Linked DNA regions of Macaca mulatta. The protein of the gene in region 2 binds, or shares a complex with, the protein of the main gene of each other region. Links are inferred from orthologs where the notes say so. Each region holds a gene or a part of one and is shown on either strand. Other genes may lie near its edges.

Evidence for each region. Proteins that work in one complex are often made in the same cells at the same time.
Region 1: the proteins of SIN3B (region 2) and PHF12 are in contact, whole or in part, in a cryo-EM structure (PDB 8BPA), measured with the Homo sapiens proteins. The link is inferred for Macaca mulatta from reciprocal best matches to the Homo sapiens genes SIN3B and PHF12. Residues at the interface, in NP_056075.1 of Homo sapiens: Glu307, Phe311, Leu318, Glu322, Val323, Tyr324, Glu325, Asn326, Leu328, Arg329, Cys330, Ile331, Leu333, Phe334, Asn335, Glu343, Leu347, Pro350, Phe351, Lys354, Phe365, Lys395, Arg396, Glu490, Glu493, Leu494, Val497, Tyr545, Arg546, Ile547; in NP_001028733.1 of Homo sapiens: Leu20, Met21, Gln23, Ile24, Gln25, Leu27, Leu28, Pro30, Pro31, Lys32, Thr33, Asn264, Leu266, Val267, Leu269, Val271, Val273, Phe275, Thr276, Asn278, Arg279, Ser280, Arg282, Cys292, Pro293, Leu294, Pro316, Asn317, His318, Ile319.

What each region holds. Positions count from the first base shown.
Region 1 is NC_133421.1:37,628,376-37,636,139, reverse strand, and holds part of PHF12 (PHD finger protein 12), read left to right. Parts: intron 1-214; coding exon 215-1,010; intron 1,011-2,256; coding exon 2,257-2,382; intron 2,383-3,120; coding exon 3,121-3,264; intron 3,265-4,601; coding exon 4,602-4,700; intron 4,701-5,809; coding exon 5,810-5,892; intron 5,893-6,485; coding exon 6,486-6,624; intron 6,625-6,962; coding exon 6,963-7,297; 3' UTR 7,298-7,764.
Region 2 is NC_133424.1:17,360,348-17,368,111, forward strand, and holds part of SIN3B (paired amphipathic helix protein Sin3b), read left to right. Parts: intron 1-945; coding exon 946-1,561; intron 1,562-2,721; coding exon 2,722-2,891; intron 2,892-6,621; coding exon 6,622-6,795; intron 6,796-7,049; coding exon 7,050-7,142; intron 7,143-7,764.

The DNA.
Region 1 (7,764 bases), on a different chromosome or scaffold from region 2:
CAGAGGATGTGTTTCCTGCTGAGGGTACCCACAAGTCTTGCTTGGGAATGGAAATGGAATTCTGTGAGGAGTCAAGCACACTTTTTGTGAGCATTTGCAATGGGACCTTGGAAACTGCTTGTCAGCTCTGCTGCAGCCCTAACCACTGTGGCAGGAAGGACCAGCACCTCTCAGACCTCTCACCCCCGTCTCCTCTCCTCTCCTTCCATTGCAGTGGCTCTGTAGTGTTGTTGCGCTCCAGTGCAGCATATTGAAACATTTATCTGCTAAGCAGATGCCTTCGCATTGGGACTCTGAACAGACAGAGAAGGCTGATATTAAGCCTGTTATTGTGACTGACGGCTCAATCACCACCTCCTTGCAAACAGCTGACAAGACACCTACACCTTCCCACTACCCCTTGTCCTGCCCCTCAGGGATTAGCACCCAGAATTCCTTGAGCTGCTCTCCACCCCACCAGCCCCCAGCCCTAGAGGACATCGGCTGCAGTTCTTGTGCAGAAAAATCCAAGAAAACCCCTTGTGGGACTGCCAATGGGCCAGTGAACACAGAGGTGAAAGCTAATGGCCCACACCTCTACAGCAGCCCTACTGATTCCGCGGACCCCCGGCGACTTCCAGGCGCTAACACCCCCCTACCAGGCCTCTCACACCGGCAAGGCTGGCCCCGGCCCCTCACGCCACCAGCGGCTGGGGGCCTTCAGAACCACACCGTCGGCATCATTGTGAAGACAGAGAATGCCACTGACCCCAGCTCTTGCCCCCAGAGGAGTTTGGTTCCTGTCCCAAGCCTGCCCCCTTCCATTCCCAGCTCTTGTGCCAGCATCGAGAACACCAGCACTTTGCAAAGAAAGACTGTCCAATCACAGATAGGACCTCCGTTGACAGATTCAAGGCCACTGGGCTCACCCCCAAATGCCACCCGGGTGCTCACTCCCCCCCAAGCAGCAGGAGATGGTATCTTGGCCACAGGAGCCAACCAACGATTCAGCTCACCAGCGCCATCATCAGGTGAGTGCTGCTCAGCCTTGGGGTGATTTGGAATAATTTTATGCTCTTTCTGGCAAATAAGACAAGATTCCAAAAGCACTTATATCCCTGTGAATACTTCAGAGGACTTTGGCCTCTGTATTGTTTGTCTTACTCCCATTTCCGTAATAGAAGAGGAAGCACATGTTAACTTGTCCCGTTTATAGATGGGACTGCTTAGACTCTGAAAGCTTCAGTGATTTCCTTAAATTGACCTACGGAGTCAGTGGCAGGATTGGAACCACAGCCCAGGTCTCCTGATTCCATCCCACACCTTCCAGGCCTAGGCTTCTGCCTGTTTTGTTCTGTCACCTTAAAAGAAGGCAGGGTGCTCTCTGGAATTACTGTGATCAGCCTGAGGTTCTGCGTGATGGCCTCAGTATTGTTAGATCCGCACAAAAGAATGGATTCATGCTTGATGCATATTCTCAGAGTTCATCTGATGGACTTCCGTGTCAGGAAGCAGGGATAGACAGCAGCACTGTCTTTCAGAGGAGCTGTAGAGTGGGATGCCCACAGGGGTTGGTCTAGCCCAGAAGCTTGCCCTCGGGCCACATGCCAAAGGGCGGTCCTTTAGGTCTGTACTTGGCCTACTGTGGACCTGCTCTCTCAGCTGTCCCCAGACAGCACTCAGTACCTTGAGGTTGCTGACCCCGGCATCTGAACCAGGTTTCAGATGCTGCCGGAACCCCCTGTGGTCTCTCCCGTCTGAACTGAAGCTGGCCTCCTAGTCAGCTGGGAGTCTCGGTAACCAGGTGACTGTGATTTCTCTGCATGGGGGCCCCTGGTCCCAGGATGGCCCCACTCCCAGGCTGTTTTCCTGTCTCTGTTTATCGCTTAATACCAGTGTGGGTAGATTTTCCATGCTGTGAGTCATATTTCAGTAGGCAGGAATTATAAGGGCAGGCACCACTTATTTAAAAGTAGAGGCAGCAGGGAGGTGGTCATGGCCCAAAGAATGAAGCTGCCCCACCACTTTCCCCAGAGCAGTGGATTTCAATGATTCCCAGTGCTCTGGAGACTCCTGCGTGCCCGGGTGCTTTGTCATTCCATCTGCCCTTCCTCACCACACGTTTTTAGCTCTAGGAGTTCCAGAGCCTATGGGTTGAGAATCAAGAAGGGAACATCACCTTGGGTCCGAAATCCAGACCTGTCTCAGCAGTGGGGGATTGGACCGGTGGGTTTCCCTCAGGCGACGTAAGTAACAGTCTTCCTGCTCCGTCCCCAGATGGCAAGGTCAGCCCCGGCACGTTATCCATAGGAAGCGCTTTAACCGTACCCTCTTTCCCAGCCAACTCTACTGCCATGGTGGACCTCACCAACTCACTTCGAGCATTTATGGATGTCAATGGAGGTGAGTGAATGAGCTGCTGCTGTTCCATTGGTTGCTATGTTGAAGGTGCTATTCCTATACAGCATTCAGCTCATTTCAGAAAGGGAGGGAAGGAGCACCTGATCCCAGAGGCCTAGGGGGAGATGGGAATGAGGAGTATCCTTTTGGATAGGGGGGTAGGGTGAAAAAGAAAGCTCCTTCTTTAGCTCTGCCTTCTACCTGTGCATATACACATAATCAAAGATGGAGGGAGGACAGAGCCAAGCTGAACCAGTGAGACAAAAACAAAATCACTTTAGGCAGATCACCTGGATTTGCAGAATAAAACTAGGATCCTCACTCCCAAAGGAGGGACCTCATCTGTGGGAAACCCCTAAAGTCCAGGAGAACAGGGACAGATCTTGATCTCTGTGAACACAAGGTGGGTAGAAAATTCAAGTCTCAATATCAGACATCCAGGCCCTCCCCCACAGACAGGCAAGTGGTTTATTCCACTCTGCCGTTCTAGGAGCACTATTAAAATCAATTCACCCAACTACAGGAGGCAGCTGCACAGGCTGCATTGGGACCCATCTCACTGCAAATAGCAAGTGAAATGCCCAGCTGCAGATCCTTGTATGCTCTGTACTCAATGCTGTTTAAGTAAAAGTTACTTGACTGGATTTTAGAAATGCCGAACTATTTGCTCTGTGACCCTGATTTGCTTCCACATTCCACTTCCATCTCAGCAGCTTTTTAATCTTTCTCTTTGGCTAATAGAAATCGAGATAAATATGCTGGACGAGAAGCTGATCAAGTTTCTGGCCTTGCAGAGAATACATCAGCTTTTCCCCTCCCGGGTCCAACCTTCACCGGGCAGTGTCGGGACACATCAGCTGGCTTCTGGAGGGCACCACACAGAAGGTGCGCATGTACACACCTGTCACCACATCATCAGATCTCCCCTCTACGTGTGCGAATGGTCACCTTGCCTCCATGGAGAATCTGAGCTTCCAGTATTCAAATCTTCTTGTGTGCTTTTCATGGGCTTAATAAAGCACCATGGTTTTTTTCTGAAGAGAGCAGGAACAAGATGGCAACCACAGCTTTCTTATCAGACTTGGGGAAGTCTGCTGTAACTTTCTTTCATATATAAGTCCACTTTGAGACACAGCAAAGCAGCTACCAGTACCTTTGGGTATATGTAGTGTACTTTCTGCTTACTTGCTTTCAAATATTTGAATTAGAAGGGCTTTCCGACTGAGTGCAGTGGCTCACACCTGTAATCCCAGCACTTTGGGAGGCTGAGGCGGGAGGATCACTTGAGCCCAGGAGTTGGAGACCAGCCTGGGCAACACAGTGAGACCCTATCTCTACAAATAATTTTAAACTTAGCCAGGCATGGTGGCATACACCTGTAGTCCCAGCTGCTTGGAAGGCTAAGGTGGGAGAATCGCTTGAGCCTGGGAGGTCAAGGCTGCAGTGAGCTATGATTGCACCACTGCACTCCAGCCTGGGTGACAGGGTGAGACCCTGTCTCTAAATAAATAATAAATAAATAAAATTTTTAAAAGAATGGCTTCCCAAGAAGGAACTTTTCAAGTTCAAGGTGAGAAATAGAATAACCGTAGGCCAGCCTTCTGGAAATTTTCCCCAAGTGGTTAACTCTGTTTCAGGTATGTCTGAGCACTGGCCATTAAAAGCCTTGCTGCTTCAAAGTGTGGTTCCCAGACCAGCAGCATCAGCAGCCCCTGAGAGCTTGTTAGAAATGCAGAGCTCAGTGCATTGGTTTTTTGCCTATTTTTAAAGAAAACAGCAAAAGAAATGCAGAGCTAAGGCCCCTCCTCAGACCTATTGAATCAGAATCTGCATTTCAACAAGATATGTAGGCGATTCATATGCACATTAAAGTTTGAGAAACACTGGTCCATGCGGTCTGTTTTTCCATGTTCTCCCTATAGTACCAGCTGGAATATCCCAGATTAGCCAACCAGGAGCCCAGGAACTTACAGGGTACTGTCATCTCTGACTTCTCTGACTATCTTCAAAGATGGTCCTCTGCACCCTGTGTTGGAAATGCTGTGGGTGGGGAGAGAAAGTCTACCCTGCAGCAGCTCAGTGCTGGATGTGAGTCTGGAAAGATGAGTCATCCAGCGGGATTTTCTCCAGGCCATGAGCCAAAAGTCCAGATTTTGTTGGTTTATGTTTGGATCACAGGATCTGAGTTTCTGAATGATCCTATTCCTATGTTTGTCTTGTAGTGCAAAGAAAGGAGGTACAGGCCCGAGCTGTGTTCTACCCCCTCTTAGGGTTGGGAGGAGCTGTGAACATGTGCTATCGAACCCTCTACATCGGGACAGGTGAGCCAGCCAGGAAGCTGGGAGAGACACTGAATCTGTTCAGCCCTAAAGACTGATACCCTTACCCACAGAAGTTAGAAAGGGGTGAGGGAAGCCCTTTCCAGAGTTGACTGCTTTAAACCAGTGGATAGCTAGACAAGAGAAATTAAGAATAGAGACAATCAGCCGGTCACAGTGGCTCACGCCTATAATCCCAGCATTTTGGGAGGACGAGGCAGGAGGAACACTTGAGCCCAGGACTTCGAGACCAGCCTGGGCAATATGGTGAAACCCCATCTCTACCAAAAACAAATACAAAAAAATTAGCTGGGCACATGCCTATAGTCCCAGCTACTTGGGAGGCTGAGGTGGGAAGATCACCTGAGCCTGGGAGGTCAAGGCAGTGATCCTATTCATGCCACTGCACTCCAGCCCGGGCAACAGAGTGAGACCCTGTCTCAAAAATAAAAGAGACGATCAGTTCCTTGTCTTCCCTTGTTCAGGCCCTTTTGCTTTGTCTTTGCCCAGTGTTGCATCAGCAGAGATGAAAGTCAGCTCTGACTACTGCCCAGGGAGGCACTTTAAACACTGCGGGGAAGAACCCAAGGAGAAGGCAGATGCTTTGTCCCTGGTGGTCTTTGAAAGAGTGATAGGCTCACACATACCCAATCTTCAGTTAGCCCTGTATCTGTTTTTTGTTTTGTTTTGTTTTCCCTAGAAGTCCTAGAGACAGATAGTTCTATATCTGGTACAGAAGGACAGACAGATTAGTCCTTACCCTAGAAACTTCCCTTTCTTTAAGGTGATATGATTTTCTAGGCTCTGCACCCTCTTGTTGTATTTTCATAGAAATATCCCATCCTCTTCAGTAGCTCACTGTTCCCTTCTGGGTAGCAGCCACATGTTCTAAAGCAGATCAGCTGGCAGGGACAGTTGTTCTTTATCAGGAGCTTGGAAAAGACATCAGTTTTTGTTCAAAAATAAAAGGGGAGGGCCCTGAGCTACTCACCCTTGAAGTCTCTGCTAGTGCCAACCCAGAAGCTAACTCCCTCCCTGTCTCACCTCCCCGACACATGCACCTTACAATCTGTTCTCTGCCTTCCTTTTCCTCTACTCCTGCCATCTTGCAGGAGCTGACATGGATGTGTGCCTTACAAACTATGGTCACTGTAACTACGTGTCCGGGAAACATGCCTGCATATTCTACGATGAGGTGAGGGCTGGAGATGCGGTGGGAGGGAGCTTTCCCAACCTAAGGCCTCTCCCAAGCAGTAGGTTTTTGTTCAGTGCCCTGAGGGGAGGGAAGAGGGATTGGGAGTCCTCTCCTTTTCTTCCCTCCCTGTCATTCCTGGAGGAGGACAGTCTTGATGTAAAACAGCATCCTACCAGGGGTACCTGCTTCACAGGAGCAGGGCTACCATTTTTCCTGAGGTTAGTCACAGGCACAGCAGAGGGAGCCTACCCTAAAGCAGGGGAGGGGACCAGCATAGAAGGAAGCCAAGCCCTGTGGATGTGTCCCTGTGAATTTCATTATCATCATGGGCCAGTGAGTATCACACCAAGAGGAGCGGTGCTGAGAAGGCAGAGTGAAGGAGGATTGGGAGAGTAGGGGGTGTGGGACACCGGAAGGAAGGCTTCCCTGAGGAGGTATCTGCAGCCCCCTTCTGAAAGGACAGGGGCCATGACTGGGGAGGCAAGTAAGGGTTCCCTAGGTAGAGCAGCACGGCCTTCTCCATATGTCCTCTCCCCCTAGCCCCATGCCCCACACAGCCAACCACACATCTTATCTCCCCTCCTCCTCCTCAGAATACCAAACATTATGAGCTGTTAAACTACAGTGAGCATGGGACAACGGTGGACAATGTGCTGTATTCATGTGACTTCTCGGAGAAGACCCCGCCAACACCCCCAAGCAGTATTGTTGCCAAAGTGCAGAGTGTCATCAGTAAGTTGGAGCAGAGGTCTGTGGCCACAAAGCTGAGGCCGCAGTCAGGGTGGTTCTGACTTGCTGCCCATGGTCTGTCTCTTGCCTTCTTAGTCCTATTGGCCAAGCTCTACTTCCTCATGGGCCCAGGGCAGGCCACAGAGAAGCAAGTGCTGAGTACCCCCATGTGTGTACACACCTGTGGGGATTTCAGACTCCACCAACCCTTTCTGAGCATCCTTCATCCGTAGTCATGCAGCAGTTGGAATGGGGAGATGCAGGAGCCCAACCTTGGCAAACAGCCCACATGGGTTGGCTGCTCACTGTTCCTCTTCTGTGACCATCCCCCTTTTTCCCAGGGCGCCGCCGGCACCAGAAACAGGATGAAGAGCCAAGTGAGGAGGCAGCCATGATGAGTTCCCAGGCCCAAGGGCCGCAGCGGAGACCCTGCAATTGCAAAGCCAGCAGCTCAAGCTTGATTGGGGGCAGTGGGGCCGGCTGGGAGGGCACGGCCTTACTGCACCATGGCAGCTACATCAAGCTGGGCTGCCTGCAGTTTGTCTTCAGCATCACTGAGTTTGCGACCAAACAGCCCAAAGGCGATGCCAGCCTGCTGCAGGATGGGGTCTTGGCCGAGAAGCTCTCTCTCAAGCCCCACCAGGGCCCTGTGCTGCGCTCCAACTCCGTTCCCTAGGACTGGCAGCTACCCCGCTACTGGCCTGTACACCCACCCAAGACTCCTGCAATGCAAAAATGTACACAAACCAAGCCCGGGTGTTTTCTATACTCTACCAGAAACGCTTCAACTACAATCTTTGCATGAAATGAAGAAAACCTTTTGACTGTTTTTTAAAAATCCTTTTTCTTTCCTCAAGTTCTAGGGGGCATTTGCACATATATTTGTACTCAACATTTCATGGGAAAGGGGCAAACCCGAGCTGAGGAACAGCGTGGGCAGGGAGGGAAAGACCCATGGTCTGGACACTTCCTCCAACACAAAACCCTTCCCCACCCATCTACTACTCCCTCCCCCTCGCCCGCCGTTGTAAAATAATCAGAAACTTGTTCTATTTTGTGGCAGTGACAATAGTTTTATATTAAAAGAAAAAATACAGTTTTCATACAGCAAAATCTATACAATATCATTGTTTTATTTAATAT
Region 2 (7,764 bases):
GGATAAAGACCAAGGGGAGGGGTGAGCCTGGGACAGGGTTTTCCAGGGAGCGAGAGCAAATGGGCATGTGCAAAGGTCCCGCACCCACAGGAGGGAGCTCGGCGCCCTGAAGCATCGCAGGAAGGAGCCTGGGGGCCGTGAGGCTGGAGGGGCTATGGAGGGGCACCCCAAGGGCTGGCATCTTCTGAGGGGCAGTGCCTCAGGAGTGTTAGTTGAGGTGACCATGCTCCTGTGGGCCAAGTCGCCCTGGACCCAGTGAGGAGAATGGTTGGAACAGGCTGGTGAGAGCTGGTGGGAGGGCTGGTGACATGACGGTGGTAGCAAGCACGTGCAGGGGCTGGCGGGTGACAGCAGCGGAGGTGGGGACTTGGGGACGATGGGCGTGCAGGGCTTCAGATGTGAGCAGTTGCAGGCCTCCTGGGTAGTAGATGGAGGGCAGCAGCAGAGAGGTCACGGCTCACCCTGTGCCTCCTTGACCTCATCGATAGCGTGGTATGGGCAGCCCCGGTCAAGCTGGAATCAGGCGCCACCGTTGCTGTCAGTAGGAGGAGGTCAGCCTCAGAGGTTTCCCCATGCTGAGCCACAGGGCCCCCATTCTGCCCTAGAGCTGGGCTGAGCGACAGACCCAGGCTTGACGCTGTCAGACCCCCTGTGAACCCTGCCCCATATCTCAGAATCCTCTCGGCTCCTCCGACTGGGTCCCAGGATGACTTGGGTCTGCCTTGCTTCCGGAGAGGGAACCAGGGGCACGTGGGGCTGCACAGGAGGTTGAGGCAAGCGACCCGCCCCCCAGGCCTTGCCTCTCCCCAACGTTGGCCACCCATCCTGCTCCGGGCAGCACTCGTCCACCTTGGTGGCCCAGTTAACAGCGACTTGTGAACGGGCACGGGGGGTCCTCTGGGTGCTGGGTGGCTTTCCGTCTCATGGCCGCCCTTTCCCCCACAGCACCAGGAGCAGCACTCGGAGGGCCGCAGCGCCCCCTCTAGCGAGCCACACCTCATCTTCGTGTACGAGGACCGACAGATCCTGGAGGACGCAGCAGCGCTCATCAGCTACTACGTGAAGCGGCAGCCGGCCATCCAGAAGGAGGACCAGGGCACCATCCACCAGCTGCTGCACCAGTTCGTGCCCAGCCTCTTCTTCTCTCAGCAGCTGGACCTGGGCGCCTCTGAGGAGTCAGCCGACGAGGACCGGGACAGCCCCCAGGGGCAGAGCACAGACCCCAGCGAACGGAAGAAGCCGGCGCCAGGACCCCACAGTAGCCCCCCAGAGGAGAAGGGGGCCTTTGGGGATGCCCCGACCACTGAGCAGCCACCCCCGCCACCCCCACCGCCACACAAGCCTCTGGACGACGTCTACAGCCTCTTCTTTGCCAACAACAACTGGTACTTCTTCCTGCGCCTGCACCAGACCCTGTGCTCCAGGCTGCTGAAGATCTACCGCCAGGCGCAGAAGCAGCTCCTGGAGTATCGGACCGAGAAGGAACGGGAGAAGCTGCTGTGTGAGGGCCGCAGGGAGAAGGGCAGCGACCCCGCCATGGAGCTGCGGCTGAAGCAGCCCAGTAAGGCTCCGAAGCCTGCCGGAGGCCCTGGGGGGTGCCTGGGGTTTGGGGTCGCAGCTCATGATCTGACATGTCCTGTTACTTTTCTTCCTGGTTTTTCGTTTTAAGAGAATTCTGTGATTTCAGATGGGAAATTGCAAACAGGAAGTTGCCAGCATAAGACAGAGGTCTCAGGTACCCCTCGCCCAGGCTCCGCCGGCACTGGCACCTGTCCTGGGTGTAGCACCCTCTCCTGACCGGGGAACCTTTGTTTTTCATGGGCCTTCTCGTGGAGCCGTCACGGCCCAGCTCCACAGTGCCCTTTTACTTTCTTTTTTTTTTTTTTTTTTTTTTTTTTTTGAGATGGAGTCTTGCGCTGTTGCGCAGGCTGGAGTATAGTGGCGGGATCTCGGCTCACTGCAACCTCCACTATCCTGGGTTCAAGTGGTTCTCCTGCCTTAGCCTTCCAAGTAGCTGGGATTACAGGCGGTTGCCACCATGCCCAGCTGATTTTTTGTATTTCTTTTTTGAAATGGAGTCTTGCTCTGTCGCCCAGGCTGGAGTGCAGTGGTGTGATCTCACTGCAGCCTCTGCCTCCCAGGTTCAAGCAATTCTCTGTCTCAGCCTCTGAGTAGCTGGGATTACAGGCACCTGCCACCATGTCCGGCTAATTTTTTTTGTATTTTTAGTGGAGACGGGGTTTCACCATCTTGGCCAGGCTGGTCTTAAACTCCTGACCTTGTGATCCACCTGCCTCAGGCTCCCAAAGTGATGGGATTACAGGCATGAGGCACTGTGCCCGGCCCAATTTTTTGTATTTTTAATAGAGACAGGTTTTCACCATTTTAGCCAACCTGGTCTCAAACTCCTGAACTCAGGTGATCCGGCTGCCTCAGCCTCCCAAAGCGCTGGGATTACAGGCACGGGCCACCATGCCTGGCTCCACAACACTCTCTGTGCCATCCCTGGGTTGCCGGCCAGATTAGGCAGCCTCAGGGAGGGTGGCAGTGAACGCCAGCTACTTGGGTTTCCTGGTGATTCCCAGATTTGCCCCAGGGGTGGCGGGTGAGGGCTGCTGGGCCCCACGGGGGCATTTGTTGGGGCTCTGTGGTGCCAGAGCTTGGCCTGCGTGGCTTTATGCACTCCAGGAGGCATGTGGATGAAGCGGTGTGTCTCCACAGGTGAAGTGGAGCTGGAGGAGTACTACCCAGCCTTCCTGGACATGGTGCGGAGCCTGCTGGAGGGCAGCATTGACCCCACGCAGTACGAGGACACCCTGCGCGAGATGTTCACCATCCACGCCTACGTGGGCTTCACCATGGACAAGCTGGTGCAGAACATCGCGCGGCAGGTGAGCCGGGCCGGGGCGGGGCCGCCCCTGAGGACGCTGGAAATGGCCCTGCCGTCACTTCACTCCCACCTGGGAAGGGGGCCCGTGGTCGGCACAGCAAACCTATCCTGTTTTTTCTTAATCGAGACAAAATTTACATAATGTGAAATTACCCATTTGGATGTTCAGTTTGGTAACATTTAGTACATTCACAATATTGTGCAACCACCACCTCTGTCTAGTTCCAGAACATTTCATCTTTCCAAAAGGAGACCCCATCCCCATCAGCAGCCACTCCCCATTCCCCTGCCCCAAGCCCCTGACATCCAGTCATCTGCTTTCTGCCTCTGGATTTCCCTCGTGCTTCATTCCTATTTATGGCTCTGTAGTAGTCAGTTGCATGGGTAGCTACGTTTCGTTTCTCCGTCTCGGCTGTGGCTGCCTTACAGAGATTGTGAGCACTGCTGCTCTGAATATTTGTGTACAGGTGTTTGTTCTGAGTTCCTGTTGACAAACCGTTCTTGAGGATAAATTGACAACATGGAAAAAACCTTAACCCACTTATCCTGGGGGAGGGTGGGAGTAGCGGTGTTCATCCGCGTTGGTTTTAGTAGTAGCAAAAACCCGGCCCCCGCTGAATGTCAACGCAAGGAAACCGGTCACGTAAACATAAACAGCAGACATCCCAGACGAGCTGGGTGTGGTTCCAGGACGTGGGTCCTGCTTGGTTTTTGCCAGAGTCATTGTTCATGGTGACCTCTGTTTCCTGGTCACCCAGTAAGGCTGTTCGTCATAAAGCGGGGAAAAAAGCTGGAAAAAAATAATGCCATTACTCTCCCACCCAGACACAGTTACAAGAAGCATTTCAGACAGGATGTTTCCTTCCAGGTTTTAAAGATTGCTTAATGCAAGTAAAATACACACGCAGAAAAGTTCCCAAATTTGAAGGGGGCAGATGGATGGGCTTTCATCAAAAGAACCCCTGCCCCTGTGTCCCCACCCAGCCACCTGCCACCCATGGACACTCACAACCCTGATTTCTTCTTCTTCTTTTTTTTTTTTTAAGACAGAGTTTTGCTCTTGTCACCCAGGCTGGAGTGCAATGGCGCGATCTCGGCTCACAGCAACCTCTGCCTCCTGGGTTCAAGCAGTGCTCCTGCCTCAGCCTCTTAAGTAGCTGGGATTACAGGTGCATGCCACCACACCCGGCTAATTTTTGTATTTTTAGTAGAGGAGGGGTTTAACCATGTTGGCCAGGCTGGTCTTGAACTCCTGACCTCAGGTGATCCGCCTGCCTCTGCCTCCCAAAGTGCTGGGATTGCAGGCGTGAGCCACGGCACCCGGCATCACAACCCTGATTTCTACACAGAGGTAGATCCTGGTCTTGAGCCGTGTGTTAACAGAAGCACACAGTGCCCGGCTGCATCCTGGGAGTGTCATTCTGTGAGATTCCTGTGTTGAGATCAACCAGCCAAGGATTCCCAGGAACGACCCCCACTCCGTCCACCTGTCTCCTGAGGACAGGCATGGGTGGTGCCCCGTGGGTGCGTCTCGTGGCCGTCCATGTACATTTCTGCTGCTGCCCTTGGGGTGAGGCAGAGAGAGGTGTGTCTCACTGATGGAAACTTTCAGTTTCCTGGATCACTCCCACCATTGCTGTGCCAGGCCGCACTCCGTGTCCTCCCTGGGGCGTCTCTCCATCAGCTGGGAGCTGTTCGAATCTCGGTGGGCTCACATTAAATTTCCCTGATGGCTCATGTGTGTGGTTGGGGCCTTGTCCTTTCATGGCCGTTGGGACATCTTTTCTCTTGGAAAGCTGTCCACGGTGTTTGTGCCTGTTTCCGTCGAGTCTGCCTTGTTGGTGACTGGGAGGATTTCTATGTCTGGCCACAAGGACTTCGTGAAACCCACAGCTGCGTTCCGACACCGTCACTTAAGCCTCCTCCACTTTCCCTCTGTGTGCCCGAAACAGGTCCCTGCCCATCACCATCCACAGCAGTGGCTGCTCCCCCAGTGAGGGAGACACGCATGGGGCAGCCTGGAGAGAGAACGCCCAGGGCCCAGCGCACGGTGTTGGGGCAGCGATGAGGGGGATGCCGGGGCCTGGCAGTCTGCCCTCCCAGGCCGGGCACCCCTCATGGGCCATGGCTTTGGGGACAGCAGCCTTGCTTGTGGCACCAGGAGATTGGACCAAATGGTTTATGGAAAGCATTGATTAGTGCTTTAAAAGAATCTCCCGCTTCCATAAACATCTCCTCTAGAACCTGTTAAAAACAAAGCAATGAAAATGGGCTGTCTGGCTGGAGCCGTAGTCAGAGCCTCGTGCTGCCCTGCTGTCCTGGCTGTGGCCTCACCAAACCCCACCTGTAGCTCACTGGGCCAGGTGCTCACCGCGGGCCCCTCCCTGCTGTTTGTAACCTGCCTCGAGGCCATGTCTGGACTCTGCCTCCCTTTATCTTAAAAATTAGCATTGCTGTTTTTCAGCAGTAGCAGTAGGCATTCAGTGGGCACCTGCTGTGTGCCAGGTGCTGTCTGAAACCTGTGCGTGTCCAGGTGGTATTGTATCCATTCACCAAAGCTGCACACGGAACCCCCAGGCAGTGTGGTCCCCTGACCAGGGCCTGGGCTGTGCAAGCGGGTGTTTCACACCAGCCTTGTCTGCCCCACAACCCCTGCTGTTTCCATTCCTTCCTTCTTCAGTGCAAAGGTGAAAGGAATAGCAATGTATTTACATCCAAGCATTTAGGGGAAAGGAACAGCCTGCACTCATACCACCTTCAGCTCATTCCAGGGTTTGCTTTGGAACATTTTTTTCCGTGTCTTTTCTATGTGTTTCTCACACGCACACAGGGTTTGCTGGTCTGGCTTGGTCTGATCTGGCCTGGTCTGTTTTGTTCAGGTCTGGTCTGGTCTAGTCTAGTTTTGGTCTGGTCTGGCCTGGTCTGGTCTAGTTTTGGTCTGACCTGGTCTGACCTGGTCTAGCCTGGTCTGGTCTGGTTTTGGTATGGTCTGGCCTGATCTGGTCTGGTCTGGTTTGGTTGGGTTTTGGTTTGGTCTGGTTTGGTCTGGTCTGATGTTGGTCTGGTTTGTTTTGGTTTGGTTTTGGTCTGATTTGCTCTGGTCTGATCTGGTCTGGTCTGGTTTGCTTTTGATTTGGTCTGATTTTGGTCTGGTCTGGTCTGATCTGATCTGGTTTGGTTTGGCCTGGTTTTGATTTGGTCTGGTTTGGTCTGGTCTGATTTTGCTCTGGTTTGGTTTGGTTTTGGTCTGGTCTGGTTTTGGTCTGGTCTGATCTGGTCTGGTCTGGTTTGGTTTTGATTTGGTCTGATTTGGTCTGGTCTGCTTTGGTTTGGTTTTGGTTTGGTGTGGTCTGGTTTTGGTCTGGTCTGGTCTGGTTTTGATCTGGTCTGGTTTGGTTGGTTTTGGTTTGGTCTGATCTGGTCTGGTCTGGTCTAATCTGATCTGGTCTGGTCTGGTCTGATCTGGTTTGGTCTGATTTGGTCTGGTTTGATCTGGTCTGGTCTGTTTTGGTTTGGTCTGGTCTGGCTTGGTCTGGTTTGGTCTGGTCTGGTATGGTTTTGATCTGGTCTGCCCTGGCCTGCACACAGCCTGTCAGGATCCTGGTCTTCATCCCTGTGCCTTGCAGTCTCCATCCTGACTTGTTTCTGGCCTTTGCCAACTTCCTCCGTGGGTGAGATGGGGGCTCCTGCAGGAGGCAGGGTGGCCGCACCACCTGCTTTCCTCCTGCCAGTTGCACCACCTCGTGAGCGACGACGTCTGCCTGAAGGTGGTAGAGCTCTACCTGAATGAGAAGAAGCGGGGCGCTGCCGGTGGGAACCTGTCCTCCCGCTGCGTCCGCGCCGCCAGGGAGACCAGCTACCAGTGGAAGGCCGAGCGCTGCATGGCCGACGAGAACTGCTTCAAGGTGAGAGGAGGCTTGGGGCTTACAAGCCGGGAAGCCCAGCCACTCACTCAGCTCTGGACTCGGTCCTGGGTGGACCCTGGTTCAGCGGCTGGGACGTCGGCCCTGCTGCAGAGCCCGGGAGGTACCATTGACCTACAGGAAGCGTCAGGGCTTTGGAAGGGTGGCAAAGGTGGGTGGCGGGTGGCCTTGCGAGCCTGCGCTGTGCCGGCTGGGCTGTCCCAGCAGTTGAGGTTGTCGGCGTCCCTGCTCCGCAGGTGATGTTCCTGCAGCGCAAAGGGCAGGTGATCATGACCATCGAGCTCCTGGACACCGAGGAGGCCCAGACGGAGGACCCTGTGGAGGTCCAGGTGAGGCCCTGGCCCCAGGCCGTGCCACGCACACCAGGGAGCGCCTGAGGGCAGCAGCATGGGGCTCCCACCAGCCAAGCGCGGGCTGCGCAGCATCCAGAGATCCTCCCTCTGCAGGCGGCAGGCTCTGCTTGAGGCCTGGTGGGTGGGGTTGCCTCCCTCCCTGCTCCCCCACCAGGCTGTCTTCTGTGCCCCCTCTCCAAAGAGCAGACCGCTCCTCCTGAGCCAGCAGGTGCATCCCAGGGCAGGAGGGGAGCCAGGCCACCTCTCCCTGGCCCCCGACTCCCACGCAGGGCATCCCCGTGGCTGACCTCTGCACCTCCCGTGTCAGGGCTGCATCCTGATCCTAATCCCCAGCAGAGGAGCCACCTGGCCCCAGCTCCCAGTCACAATTTTTGTGGGGACAGATGTTTCCTGCTCACCTCCTGCATCCTGGTGACAGTGAGGCATTGACCCGTGTGTGCCCCCAGGGTGGTCACTGGGGCCTGCAGCTCCCAGCACCTGCTGGCGGGTCCAGTGTGTGTGCACATTACTCAGCTGGCCAACTCCATTCATTTCCTGGGGCTACCACCGCAGTGACCGCAAACCACGTGACTTCAAACAACAGAAGTCTGTTCCCTCA